Caenorhabditis elegans: one gene and its partner. The protein of the gene in region 1 purifies or fractionates together with the protein of each later gene. This does not show direct contact. Each region holds a gene or a part of one and is shown on either strand. Other genes may lie near its edges.

Region 1 (6,185 bases):
TCTAAAACTTCCGGCAAATTGATATCCGGCGAATCGGCAATTTGCAGAAAATTAAATTTTCCGGCAAATCGGCAAACCGGCAAATTTGCGGCATACCACTGCTTTAGACTGGTATTGAAGGTTTTCGGCTGCCTGACAGCCGACTAATAATGTTTGTCGGTTTTCGACTGGTTAAAATTTACATATATAAAAAATTCAACTTAAGAATTTTGCCAATTTTGCTAAAATTCGGCCAAGTTTGTCCAGCCGACAGTCGGAAAAAAGCAGCCAAGGCCCCTAACTGTTCATTTCTTCCAGATCCCTGCTACTACAACTACAACAACTATTGCTACACCTTCTCCCATAACCAGTCATCCTTCACAACCGCTCAGGCAATCTGCGAGGAGGAATGCGGAAACCTAGTCTCAATCCACTCAGCTAACGAGAACCGTTATCTCATGAACATAGCCAGCCATAGAGCTTCCGATAACGTTCTTATTGGAGGCATGTGGCCTATGGATCACATGAACACCTGGGTGGATGGAACTATGTGGGACTACAGTAATATCGACTCAGTTTATAATCCGAAGAATCGGTGTATTGCCATGGCGAATAATGGAACATCGGAATATAATTTGGGACAATGGTTCGGTGTTGATTGCGAAGGTCTGTCCAGCTTCTTCTGTAAGCGGCCTGCCGGGGTGCCATGCTCCACAGACCAGCCGAAGGTCACAGTGACACCTGTCCCATCAAATGAGTCATTCTGCAACTCTACTGTCCTGATGACCCCCGGAATTATAACATCACCAAATTACCCACAAAACTATGACAATAACGTGTACTGCAGCTACAAGCTCTCCACCTTGGGATCCTACAACATCCTCCTTGAATTTACATCCTTCTCAACAGAGGAGAATGTCGATCTGGTTACGGTATACGACGGGGAATCAACAAATGGGCTGAAAATTGGAACTTATAGTGGATCTCGTGAGCCATTCCACTTGATTTCAAAAGGAAATAACTTCTTCGTCACGTTCGCAACAGATTCGAGGAATGTCTTCAAAGGATTCAGTGCCACTTTTGTGGCGTATTCTACTTAAATTCTAATGAATTTTAAATAAAAGTTTCATTAATAAAATATATGAAAAAAACGCTTAAACTGTTAATAAAGTATTATAAAATGCTCTCTCCATGAGTGCTCCTTGCTCCGGAGTCATGCGATTCAGAACCCGCAGGATTTTCGCCTCCATTAGGGCTCCATCAAAGTGCTCATCCGGCCTGAAAGAAAATAGCTTGAAAAGATTTTGGACTGGAGGTCAAGAGTGGGAAGAAAGACATTTACAACATCATAAGGGTAAAAAAAGAGGGGTGGCTAAGTTTGCAGCCGACATTTAATGGGTTTCCCGGAAGGCATATACTTACATATTATAGCTCAATTTGTCTGAATTAGTTAATTACGATAAATTGAATGAAGTGCTAAGTGCAGCCGACATATTACTGGACTAGCCAGCTACTCACTGTTTTTTAGATTCCTGCTCTTGATTTTCCACCGGGAGCCCGCCGATTTCTTCCCGAACATTTGCAAGATGCCTCTCGTCTCTGGAATTTCAATTTTTTTTTCGGGTTTCGAAGGGCTGAAACTGACCCATTTTCTGGTGAGACGGAACTCTCAGAAGAACGGGCAATCTCCATGGCGGACTTCAAAAACTGCTCGAACTCTGAGTTTTCCTGGGGCTCAGTAGCTATGGGCACAGCAGCTTGGGGCTCGGCAGCTTGGGGCTCAGCAGCTTGAAATGAGCTAGCTCTTTCCATTAGAGAATCTAGAAGTTGGTTGAGCTTTTGAGAACTTTTGGCTCTGAAATTTCTGGATTTTTAGCAAATCTTTTGAGGAGGATCTTACTGGCTCTTCGAGCATTTGACTGGAGGTGCGTCCACAATTTCCATCAAAGCATCCTCAAATTGTCCGGATAACTTTCTCGTCGGGGTACTTTTTCTGAAAAAAAATCCGTTTTAGTGGGCTTCTTCAGGATCAACTAACCTCTTCCGACTCCCCATCGAAGCTCTAGGAGCCTCGGGCTCCGCAACCGTTGGCTCCAGCTTCAACGCCGCCATCACTGAATCTGAGATCCTGCACAAGTCAACGGAGGTCTCGTGCTCCTTGAGAATTGCTAAGGCTATGGAGATGTCGCTGGGGGGTTCCAGGTTCAAAATTGAGGCAATGCTGTGGGAAGATTGACGGGAAGCTGTGGGGCATGGGGAGAGGCTCTGAAAAGACAAACTGTGATCTATGAGGATCCTTGGTCATGGGTACCCAGGTGTACAAGACCCCATGATCGGGTACCTGGACTAGTTGGGACCACGTCAGGCTACCCCATTTGGGTTTGATCTACTTAGATTTGCGATAATTGCGAGAAACTGATTTCGTATGGTTAAAAACGTGCTGACGTCACATTTTTCATGACAAAGTTCCCGCATTTTTTGTAGATCAAACCGTGATGGACCAGCCTGACACCACGTGGAACCACAAATGACCCCCTTACCTCCTGACGCTTGTCCATTGGTAGATTTGCAATCATACACGCCAAATAGTGCCGAAGGGTCTCACCACGCTCAAATTGAGGGACTTGGTACGTTTTGTAAGTTTTGGGATTTTCTGGTGCTTCTTTAGATATTGTAGGCTGCGGTGGTTTGGGCTTTTCGGTGGTTTTTCGGCGCCTCGTTTTCTTCACCGGAGCTTTGACAAGCTGTGGAGCAGCTGGATCGAGTTGGAAGGATGCGGGGAGTTGCTGGAAATTTTTTTTGAAATTGAGAAATTTTAAAAGCTCCAGTAAGGAAGAAATCTTTGGAAATTTTCAAAACGACGCAAAAATCTGAATATTTCCCAACTTTTCTAGTGTTGCAAAAAATAATAATAAAAATTTTTAAAGTTTGGACTGAAGTTTTCATTTGAAGCGATTCGAGAAATCTAGAAAAGTTCAGATTTTTTTTCTAAAAATAAAAAAAATCAGCTCATTTTCAAATTAAAGCAAAGTCGTAGAAATTTCAGAAATTTTAATTTTTTTTTGCTGAGAAAATTGTATATTTCCAAACTTATCGGATCATTTTTTTGATTTTTTTTTCAACTTCAATTATATTTCGTTTGGACTAACGCTTAGGCTTAGGCTTAGGCTTAGGCTTAAGCGTAGGCTTAGGCTCAAGCTTAGGCCTAGGTTCAGGCTTTGGCTTAGGCGTAGGCTTTGGCTTAAGCCGAGGCCTTGGTATAGGCTTAGCATTAGATGTGGGCTTAGGCTTATTCTTGCCAATCGAGAAAATTAAAAAAAAATTTGAATAATCTTTGCTGAAATTTTGAAAAAATTCAGTTTGCCAAAAAAAATAAAAAATCAGAAAAATGTCAGTAAACTTTCAAAAAATACAGTGTCAGACTGACATTTCCATATGAATGAAAAAATCTTTTTAAAAAATTCAAAAAACAATTCAAAACTTTTAAAACAAAATGTTTTACTGGGGAAATTGGGGAAATTTACTGGGGAAATTGGGTAAGTTGGGGAAATTTAAATGAAACTGAATTTTAAAAAATTTCAAAAAATTCTCAAATTTAACTTTTAAAATTTCAAACGTACCTGAGCCCGAAACTGCTGCATCATGAATTGCTGAGCCAGGAGCATTTGTTGGAGCTGCTGAGCTCCCGGCATTGGCCAAGCCTGCCCTTGCTGCAAGACGCGCTGCTGGAGCATCTGCATTTGATATTGAAATTCTCGTCGGGATTGCTCCGCGAGCTGCTCTTGGGACATTTTTTCCCCGATCTGAAATTTTTCAGTCATTTAGAAAAAAAATTAATTAAAGTTAAGCCAAAAATTCTTTAAAAATTAAAAAAAAAAGAAACGTACAAAAAAAAGTGTGGTTGGAGTATTAATGAGGTCAGAAATGATAAGAATTGCTGTTCGACTTATCAATTTTTTTAAACGGCAACCGCCAAATTGATAGCAGTCGGGTGAACCTTATCACCTAAAAAATGGAAGAAATAGTGAAATTTTTCTCAAAAAACCGTTTCGAGCGAAAAATTTGAAACAAAAGTGGCAAAGCAAATAGAAAAGAACGGGAGTGAAGGGAGAAGATGAAAAAAAAATGAAAAAAAATGCAAAGTTAAAATGCAAACATTAGTTAGACTCTGGAAAAATGATAAAATTTTGGGTTTTTGCAGAAATGTTCCCGCGACCAATCAGCGAAGTACAGGGGGCGTGGTCGACGTCGCTGATTGGCCCGAGTTTTTACTCTATTTTTTCTTTATCGGTGGAGTGGGAAAATGTTTAAAAACCATTTATATGGGTAGTAAAATTACCAATTATCAAAAAAAACTTATTTAGGCATAGGCTTAGGATCAGGATTAGGTTTAGGCTTAGGCTTAGGCTTAGGCTTAGGCTTAGGCTCAAACTTAGGCTAAGGCTAAGGCTCGGACTCACGGTTAGGTTTAGTGTTAGGCTTAGACTTGGGCTTAGGCTTGGGCTTAGGCTTAAGCTTAGTCTTATGCTTAGGCTTAGGTTTTGCGTAGGCTTAGGTTTAGGCTTAGGCGTAGGCTTAGGTTTAGGCTTAGGCTCAGGCTTAGGACTAGGCCTATATGGGACTGGGGAGGAGGGGGGGGGGGAGAAAAAAAGAATTTACCAGAAATTACTGAAAATCCAGAAAAAAAGGAAAAACAACAAAAAAAACCAGAAAAAGAATCATTCCAAAGTCGGTTCAGAAAATCCCATAAAAAAGGCCGAGAAAGTACCAAAAAAGACAAAACTTAATGAAAAAAAGTGAAAAAATATTGATGGAATTTCATTTTTAATGAAAATTTGGAAACTAAAGATTTAGCTAATGAAAACTGACAAGAAACTGCAAAAATTGCCCCACAAAAAGAAAAGAAAATTGAAAAATCGAGGAAATTTCGACAATCTGGATTGGATACGGGATATTGAAAATTTCAAAAAAAAAACACGGGAAATTAAAAAAAAATATTACAGCCTTCTCAGGAGGACAAGATCAGGATGAAAGGGAAATTTAAAATAAATTGTAATGAAGATCTGTCTGGACGGGGCTGCTCTTAATCGGAAAATGTTGATATCGAAGACGGTGTTGGTGATGAACGAGGGAGAATTGCTTTGCGTTGGGTCATAGGGCAATCGACATTTTTTCCCCAGCTCGCCTGTCTCCGATCAAACTACCAAGACAAGCTGAGAAACAAAAGTTAGCGGTAGGAAATAGACAGGCTGCCTGAAAAATTGGCTGCCTACTACGAAAGCTCAAGAAGAGCAGCCTCCTACTAAAATGAGCACAAAAATCACGGGCCCAGGCTCCCATAAAAAGACGAAAAGCCAGAGCCAAGATTAATGAAAAGTACGAGAAAATACGCTCTTTGTTTATTTCTTTTGGAAATTTCATTTTGCCATTCTGGAAAAACAACTTTTGAAGAAATGGAGAAATTTCTCTAACCTATCTGCCTATTTGCCTACCTTCAAATTTAAATTGAAAAGTTGTGGTCATTCATACAAAGCGCATTATTGGAATAAGAAATAAAATTGTAAATTTATTTCCGGCAATTTTGGACAAATTGCCGATTTGCGGTTTACCGGATTTTTTTTCCAGTTTTTTACTGGTTTGCCGGTTTACAGGAATTTGCGAAAATTGCAAACTTGCTGGAATTTGCCGGAATTTTGAAATCCGACACCTTGCCGGTTTGCCGATTTGTCAGAAATTTAAAAATCTGACAATTTTCCGGAAGACGGATACACTTAAAACGGCGCCTTTTTGGAATTTTTTCCCCGTTTTCTTTGAAAAAAAAGTCATTTATATCATGTGTACAATTTTGTCGTTCAAAATTAAAATTCTGAACCTTCCAGAAAAAAGTGCAAGCCCACAATTTCACTTTTCCAATTTTCAATTTCTTTTTCCGGCAATTTCGGCAAATCGGCAAATTGGCGGTTTGCCGAAAATTTTCGGCGAATTCGATAAATCGGCAATTTGCCGACTGTGCCAAAATTTTTCTATTTCAGCAATTGCCAAATTTGCCGCTTGCCAGAAAAAATTGTCTGCCACACCACCCCTGATGCATCGCCAAAAAATCGAATTTGCAACTTAACAATTGATGTTCTCAATGTGCAAGTTTAGCTGTAGCTCTAGTTGATCAAGTTTTTGATTTGTTTTGCAATATCCTTAAAATCGAACAA
Region 2 (5,845 bases), on another chromosome or scaffold:
GAATTTAACATAAAAATCATACATCTGAAAATTATTGGCGTGCGTGGGAGGTGCGTTTGTGTGGGAAGTGCCGCGTGCCAAAACACCGTTTTTTCGAAAGGGTTCGCTAAATTGCCGAGGTGATTAAAATCGCACCTTATTGGGAAACATTGCAAATTTTAGGTCAAATTGAAGGAAATTTATTCAGCTATCAGTATTCGATCGAAGAATGTACGTATGACGTGGCAGTCGCGCGAAAAGCTCATGTAAAAGAGCGCTTCATGTGTTACCATACTTTTGGCCCACCCTGTATAATCATCAAGACTATGGACACTCAAAATAGCTAATCCCGAGCGAATAGGTATTTTTTGTGGCAACTTATGCTCGGACTCTTTCCTTTCAAAAAAGTAAAAATTGTCTGTTGTGAAAATTTTGCCTAAAAACAGCCATTTTTCACGAATGATTGTTATAAATTTTCATAAAATAATACAAATTACACAAATGACCAGACAATAATTTTGCTTAGCTTCCCAAAAAACGAGTGGGAGGACGCTCAAAGACCTTCGTTTTTTGAGAATAGTTTTTTGATGACTGTTGATCCCCAATGATAAGATGTTTTTTCCCGAAGAAGCTGTAAAAAAAACAAGAAATATTTGCAGTTTCTAGAAATTACCCAAACACCACGGTTGAATTTTTTGAAATATGAAAAACACGATGATATTTGCTGAACTTGAGTTGTGTGTGTGTGTGAGAATCCTAGTGCCCGAAAGCTTGATTCCGCGTGGCTCATTGAGTGGAATAAATGAGAAAATGTGCCACGTGGAAGATTTTCGGCACAAATAGGGTTTTGTCAATTTTATCAATTATTTGAATGTGACTGAAAAAGTTGAGATTTTGGCTTCTCTGACAGATTAAGCCAAATCTACTCTTTTAAATTAAGCACTTCTGTGTCAATTTAATAGTTCGAATGCAACCTATGTTATAGGTTATGGATCCAGAAGGTTCCTGGGCCGGCCTCTTCTTTGCACATCTCTTCCTGAAATCCTTGTTTAAGTTGGGAGATTTTCTTCTACGTGGCTTCATGAATGGTGGTGAGACCAGTTTGTTGGATATGAAAAAGGGTTATTTATTATCGTTCTGTTTTCTTAAATATTTCAAATGTTGTGTTGTTTTTGCAGAATGAGCGCAACTTGAGTGGTCTTTGCTATATTTCGTATAGAAAACTTCGGCCTATAGTTTTGAGATTTTATGTAGGAAGATCTAGTTTGAAAGCTTTCGGAAGCTGTTGTACACTTGTGAAACACATTCAGCTGAATTAATTATTTAATTTTGTTTATTGAGTTTTTCAAACTATTCAAGAAAAAAAAATGGACAGTGAATAGAGGTGCGAGTTGATTATGCTGTGTGGGTTGCCTCTGAATTCAAAAAAAAACTGGAACAAAATAACAAAATACTGGAAAGAGATGAAAAAGGAGAGGATAAAATTGAACGAGGTAAGATAATTTTGAATCAAACAAATAAATTTCAATCCGACGGATGCTTTATTTCTTCTCGACGTCTTCTTCCTCGCCTTTGTTGATGAGATCCTTCATTTCTTGCTCGTTACTGAAAAATTAAAGAATTAAAAGTGTATTTCCTATAATAAAACATACGCCTTTTCAGCTGGCTTTGCTGCAGATGTTCCAGCCTTGTCCAAACTACAATTCTTGGTTTCCTGAAGGAAGAAGTAGGCGGCTACCACATTGGTAAGACCGAGACTGATTGAGATCATATGTACTCCTGGCTCGTAGACGGTTTTGAGACCACTCTGTAATTTAAGAAATTTAAATATTTTAGGTTTTAAAATGTAAAATTCAAGATAATTTCCTAAGATCTGTAATGAAAACTAACCAGCATAGATGCTCCAATGTTGGCGAATCTTCCTACGATTGAGCATGAAGCAGTTGACGTGGCACGAACATCTGTTGGCATGAGCTCAGAAGCACACAAGTAGCATGGTTCCCAAACAATTGATGTGAACACGAATGATGCCAAATAGACTGCCGTGTAATACCATTGCCCCTTTTCTCCGGCAAACAAGAAGGCAATGACACATCCGAAGAAGACAATAGCAAGAGATTGAGAGCATAGAAGTACGAAACGGCGTCCCATCCATGGAAGGTAGCCGTCAGCGAAGCCCATGATCTAGAAAATGTATTCATTAAATTGAAAAATTTACCCAGACGGGGAGTTTTGTACATACAGTACCCAGTCTCGAAACATTTTTTTGTAAAATACAAACAGATGTGCGCCTATAAAGATTACTGTAACTTTCAATATCTTGTTCTGCGTAATTTTCAGGGATTTTTTAAGTTTTTCTCACAATTTGTTCATATTTTTTGTCTTTCTGATTTCGAAAAAGTATGAAAAGCCGATAAAAATTCAGCCTCAACAAAAGTTTGAAACTACAGTAATCTTTACATGCGTTTCGAGACCCGGCACCGTATTTTTGAGGCCAAAATCGTAGAATTTCGTGTCTGGTTAATATTTCAACTTACGATTCTCACAACTGAAAGCAAAATTCCAGAAAGGAATTGTCCAACCCAGAAGTTCTTTGTCATATCTCCTCCACACAAATCGGTCAAATAAGCGGTCATTCCAGTTACGAACCACCTGAAAATTTAAGTTTTCCTAAGAAAAATTTAAAATGTGAAATTACATGAGCCAAAGAATCAGAATATTCTTGCGAAGTTGAGGATCAGCGAATACTGTGCAAATATTGACGGCCTTTTCTGGCTCAACGTTGTCCGCAGCTTTCTCTGGTGGTGGCACTGAAAGAATTGAAAAGTTAGAAAAAACAACAATTTCTGAAAAATACAGTTTTCATACTTGGAACAAATTCGATTCCAGCGAGATCAGCAATCCTTTTTCGGCTCACTTCTGCCTCCTCATAACGTCCTTTTTTACGGAGCCAAATGTGAGATTCAGGAAGAATAAAATAGACGATCGCAAGAGTGATAAGAGAAATAACAGCAGATACATGAGATGATAGACGCCATTCTCCAGTGAATAAGGCTACCAAAGTTAGCATTATACGTGCATTTGCCTGAAAAATTGATTAGGTAAATTGCAGACATTCTAGAATGAAACTATTTACCCAGTTACTGAATGTTCGGAGCTTAAATCTCTGATGTGGCGATACCAACTCGGAAAAATAAGCCCATCCGACAATCATTGTTCCAGCGATTCCGATTCCAGTTAAAGCGCGGAAAATGTAGAATGCGGCAATGGAATTGAATGTGGCTGAGAGTGAAAGTGATGGAATTCCAATGAGCATTGACAGAATAAAAGTCTTCTTTCGGCCAATTTGATCAGCTACATATCCGAGAATAATATTTCCGATGAGTACGCCAACGTATTGAACAAAAGCTGGACGGAAATCCTTCCATCCGGGACGACAGTAAATTTCGAATTCCATAGCGGCGGATGAATAATAAGAATGTGATTTCTCTGTGTGGCAATCCGAAAGAGCTGTTCCAGTCAAATTGGCGCAAAGGTTAGGGAAATTTTCATTGTACTCGAGGCACTTGGATTTTGGAACATCGTAGCATACTTTTCCTGAAAAAATAATTGCAAGATACTTTCTATGGAGACTTCAGCGAGAAAACCACAGGTGTTGACGAGCGATCTATCTCTCAAGTGCTGCAGCTGCAGTCACTCTTCTCATTTATTCAAAATTGTCATTTTCAAAGCTAGTTCTCGTGCGGAGAGATGGCCGAGCGGTCCAAGGCGCTGGTTTACTTCAGTTTTTTTCGCTGTTCTCTTCAGTTTTTTTACCTTGGGCAGTCTGGATGCAGTTTGTCTTTGGAGTGTAGTTCAGGAAAATGGGAAACAGTTGCTGAATTGAGAAGAAATGGCACATTTGGTATGAGATCAAAATGAGCACATCTACCCGGTAGATACCGGGTGGAATGATGTGCATTGTGATAGGTTAGTGGAGTTGAGTTGAACTGAAATATTAATTTTAAAGATTTTTGAAAATATTTTCGATTCTAAAGAGAAGAAGGGAATAAAAACAAGGAGTGACCTGATACTTGTTTACAAGATAAGAACGAGAAACAGCAGAGTCTAAGATGATAGCCATTTATCATCGAATTTTTTGGCAAAATCATCTACTGGTTCAGTCGTACAGAAAAATGAGAGTTTTGGTCTTTTTAAATAAGATCAGGAAATCGGTTAGTTATTTAGGAATAAATACATGTAAGTTTGAAGGGAAGGACATTGAAATATTAAGCATTTCTCTGATATTTGGGCAAACAACAACATCATCAAATATTTATGTGAAAATTTGTTCTTGTGGAAAGACTTAATCAAAAAGTAGCTACATATTCCAGTCTAAATCTGAAATCAAAAACTTTCTTGTCGTAACGATCTATAAAATGACGCCAACCACAAATTTTGCAAATTCTGCAATGATGCAAGTTGTGCCAAAAATTTGTTTTAGAAAAGTCACACGACAGAATAAACTAAAAATCACATAAAAAATATGACGAACACTTGAAATAGCGATAAGAAATAAACGTGGTGGCAGTAGCCAGGCGGAGAGCAGTGAAACGGGAGCGCAGAGATCTAAAGAATTGCGTCATTTCTACGGGCGCCCAGCATATGTTGAGGTCAAGCTCGTGTTACTTACACTATTCTTTCTTTTTCGGAGAACAATGAGAAGTGGAAAAATGCATAAATGGAGAATACAAAAATGTGTTCAACTTTCGTAACTGTAAAATCTGTAAATATCGTCAATGTTTTCAAAGTTTCCATGTGCTTTATCAGAAAGTATGCAACGATTTTAAAAGTGTGCAGTTAATTTAATGAAAATTAAATTACTTCAAAGAAATAATTTTTTGGTTTGGTTCCTGCCCTCAAGTAAATATTACATTGAAATGTATACATTTACTAAAGATTATAGGTCATACAAAGCAGCAAAAAAGGATGTGTTTAAAACGGCACGTGGGCATCGCAAATGAACGGAAAACCGAGGGGGTTAGAGAGGCTCAGTAGTAACCATCATAACTGTCTGCGTTTCTAACCGAACATCCACTATCTCTACGTTCAAATGGCCTTCTGTCAATGTCTGGTCCACTCTCAATCTCGTACACTCACTCGTTGACTCGGTCCGCGCAAGTAGTTCAGATATGTGAGCAGAAGCAAAAATGGGAGAGAGTCCGAGAGGAATACGTGTCATTGTGTGCGTGAGGACAAACGGAAGAGGGCGGAACATCAAAAACCACTGCAGATTGAGAAAAATAATAGAAAGATAAGAGATAGGTCGAGGAATTTTTCGGATTTTTTGTTATTTTATTGAAAGGGTGGGAAACGATTGAATTGTGAAAGTTTGCGCTGTGTGCTCAACGCTATTTTCTGAAAGTATAAGTCTGCCTAGTTTTTCATTAAAATGTCCAGAATGTTGCTTCATGTGAAATTGTCGTTCCAAACCTATTTGTAACTAGAGATTTGCGGAGATCTAAATGTTCCAGTAATCGGTGATTTCAGAAACTGCTTAGATTTGAATTACCGACAATTGGAAATCCCAACAATTTCAGAAAGTTAATCTCTTCAAATAAGGAGAAGTCTGGAACCAGATAACATATATGTTTTCTAATCCCTAGCAAAAACAGAAAACTGCACGTTTCTCAAGAAAAAAGTAGTAAGCAAAAGAGCCGGAGCACATCAAAAACGGCACGACGAAAATACTGATGACGTCAGAATCTTTTGGCCATAGAAATACATTTTGAAGGATGCAAACTGAAATGGAAAAGGGCAAGTAATATGACAAAAAATAATAGTTGTGAATCGTAAAAAATGTGAATTATTTTTCGGAAATTTCGTT

The links. Proteins that work in one complex are often made in the same cells at the same time.
Region 2: the proteins of C41H7.2 (region 1) and C46C2.2 fractionate together in Caenorhabditis elegans (co-fractionation; one large-scale study listed by BioGRID). This does not show direct contact.

Annotation. Positions count from the first base shown.
Region 1 is NC_003280.10:3,012,420-3,018,604, reverse strand, and holds C41H7.2 (AT-rich interactive domain-containing protein 2), read right to left. Parts: upstream 3,789-6,185; 5' UTR 3,771-3,788; coding exon 3,600-3,770; intron 2,766-3,599; coding exon 2,520-2,765; intron 2,245-2,519; coding exon 2,018-2,244; intron 1,973-2,017; coding exon 1,880-1,972; intron 1,835-1,879; coding exon 1,625-1,834; intron 1,579-1,624; coding exon 1,498-1,578; intron 1,421-1,497; coding exon of another isoform or gene 1,405-1,420; exon of another isoform or gene 1,402-1,404; intron 1,258-1,401; coding exon 1,134-1,257; 3' UTR 1,091-1,133; downstream 1-1,090. Other genes in the region: clec-3 (C-type LECtin), read left to right, coding at 298-1,079.
Region 2 is NC_003282.8:9,215,849-9,221,693, reverse strand, and holds C46C2.2 (Major facilitator superfamily (MFS) profile domain-containing protein), read right to left. Parts: upstream 3,969-5,845; 5' UTR 3,941-3,968; coding exon 3,796-3,940; intron 3,577-3,795; coding exon 3,116-3,576; intron 3,065-3,115; coding exon 2,848-3,064; intron 2,790-2,847; coding exon 2,678-2,789; intron 2,632-2,677; coding exon 2,517-2,631; intron 2,164-2,516; coding exon 1,870-2,163; intron 1,787-1,869; coding exon 1,632-1,786; intron 1,585-1,631; coding exon 1,521-1,584; 3' UTR 1,297-1,520; downstream 1-1,296.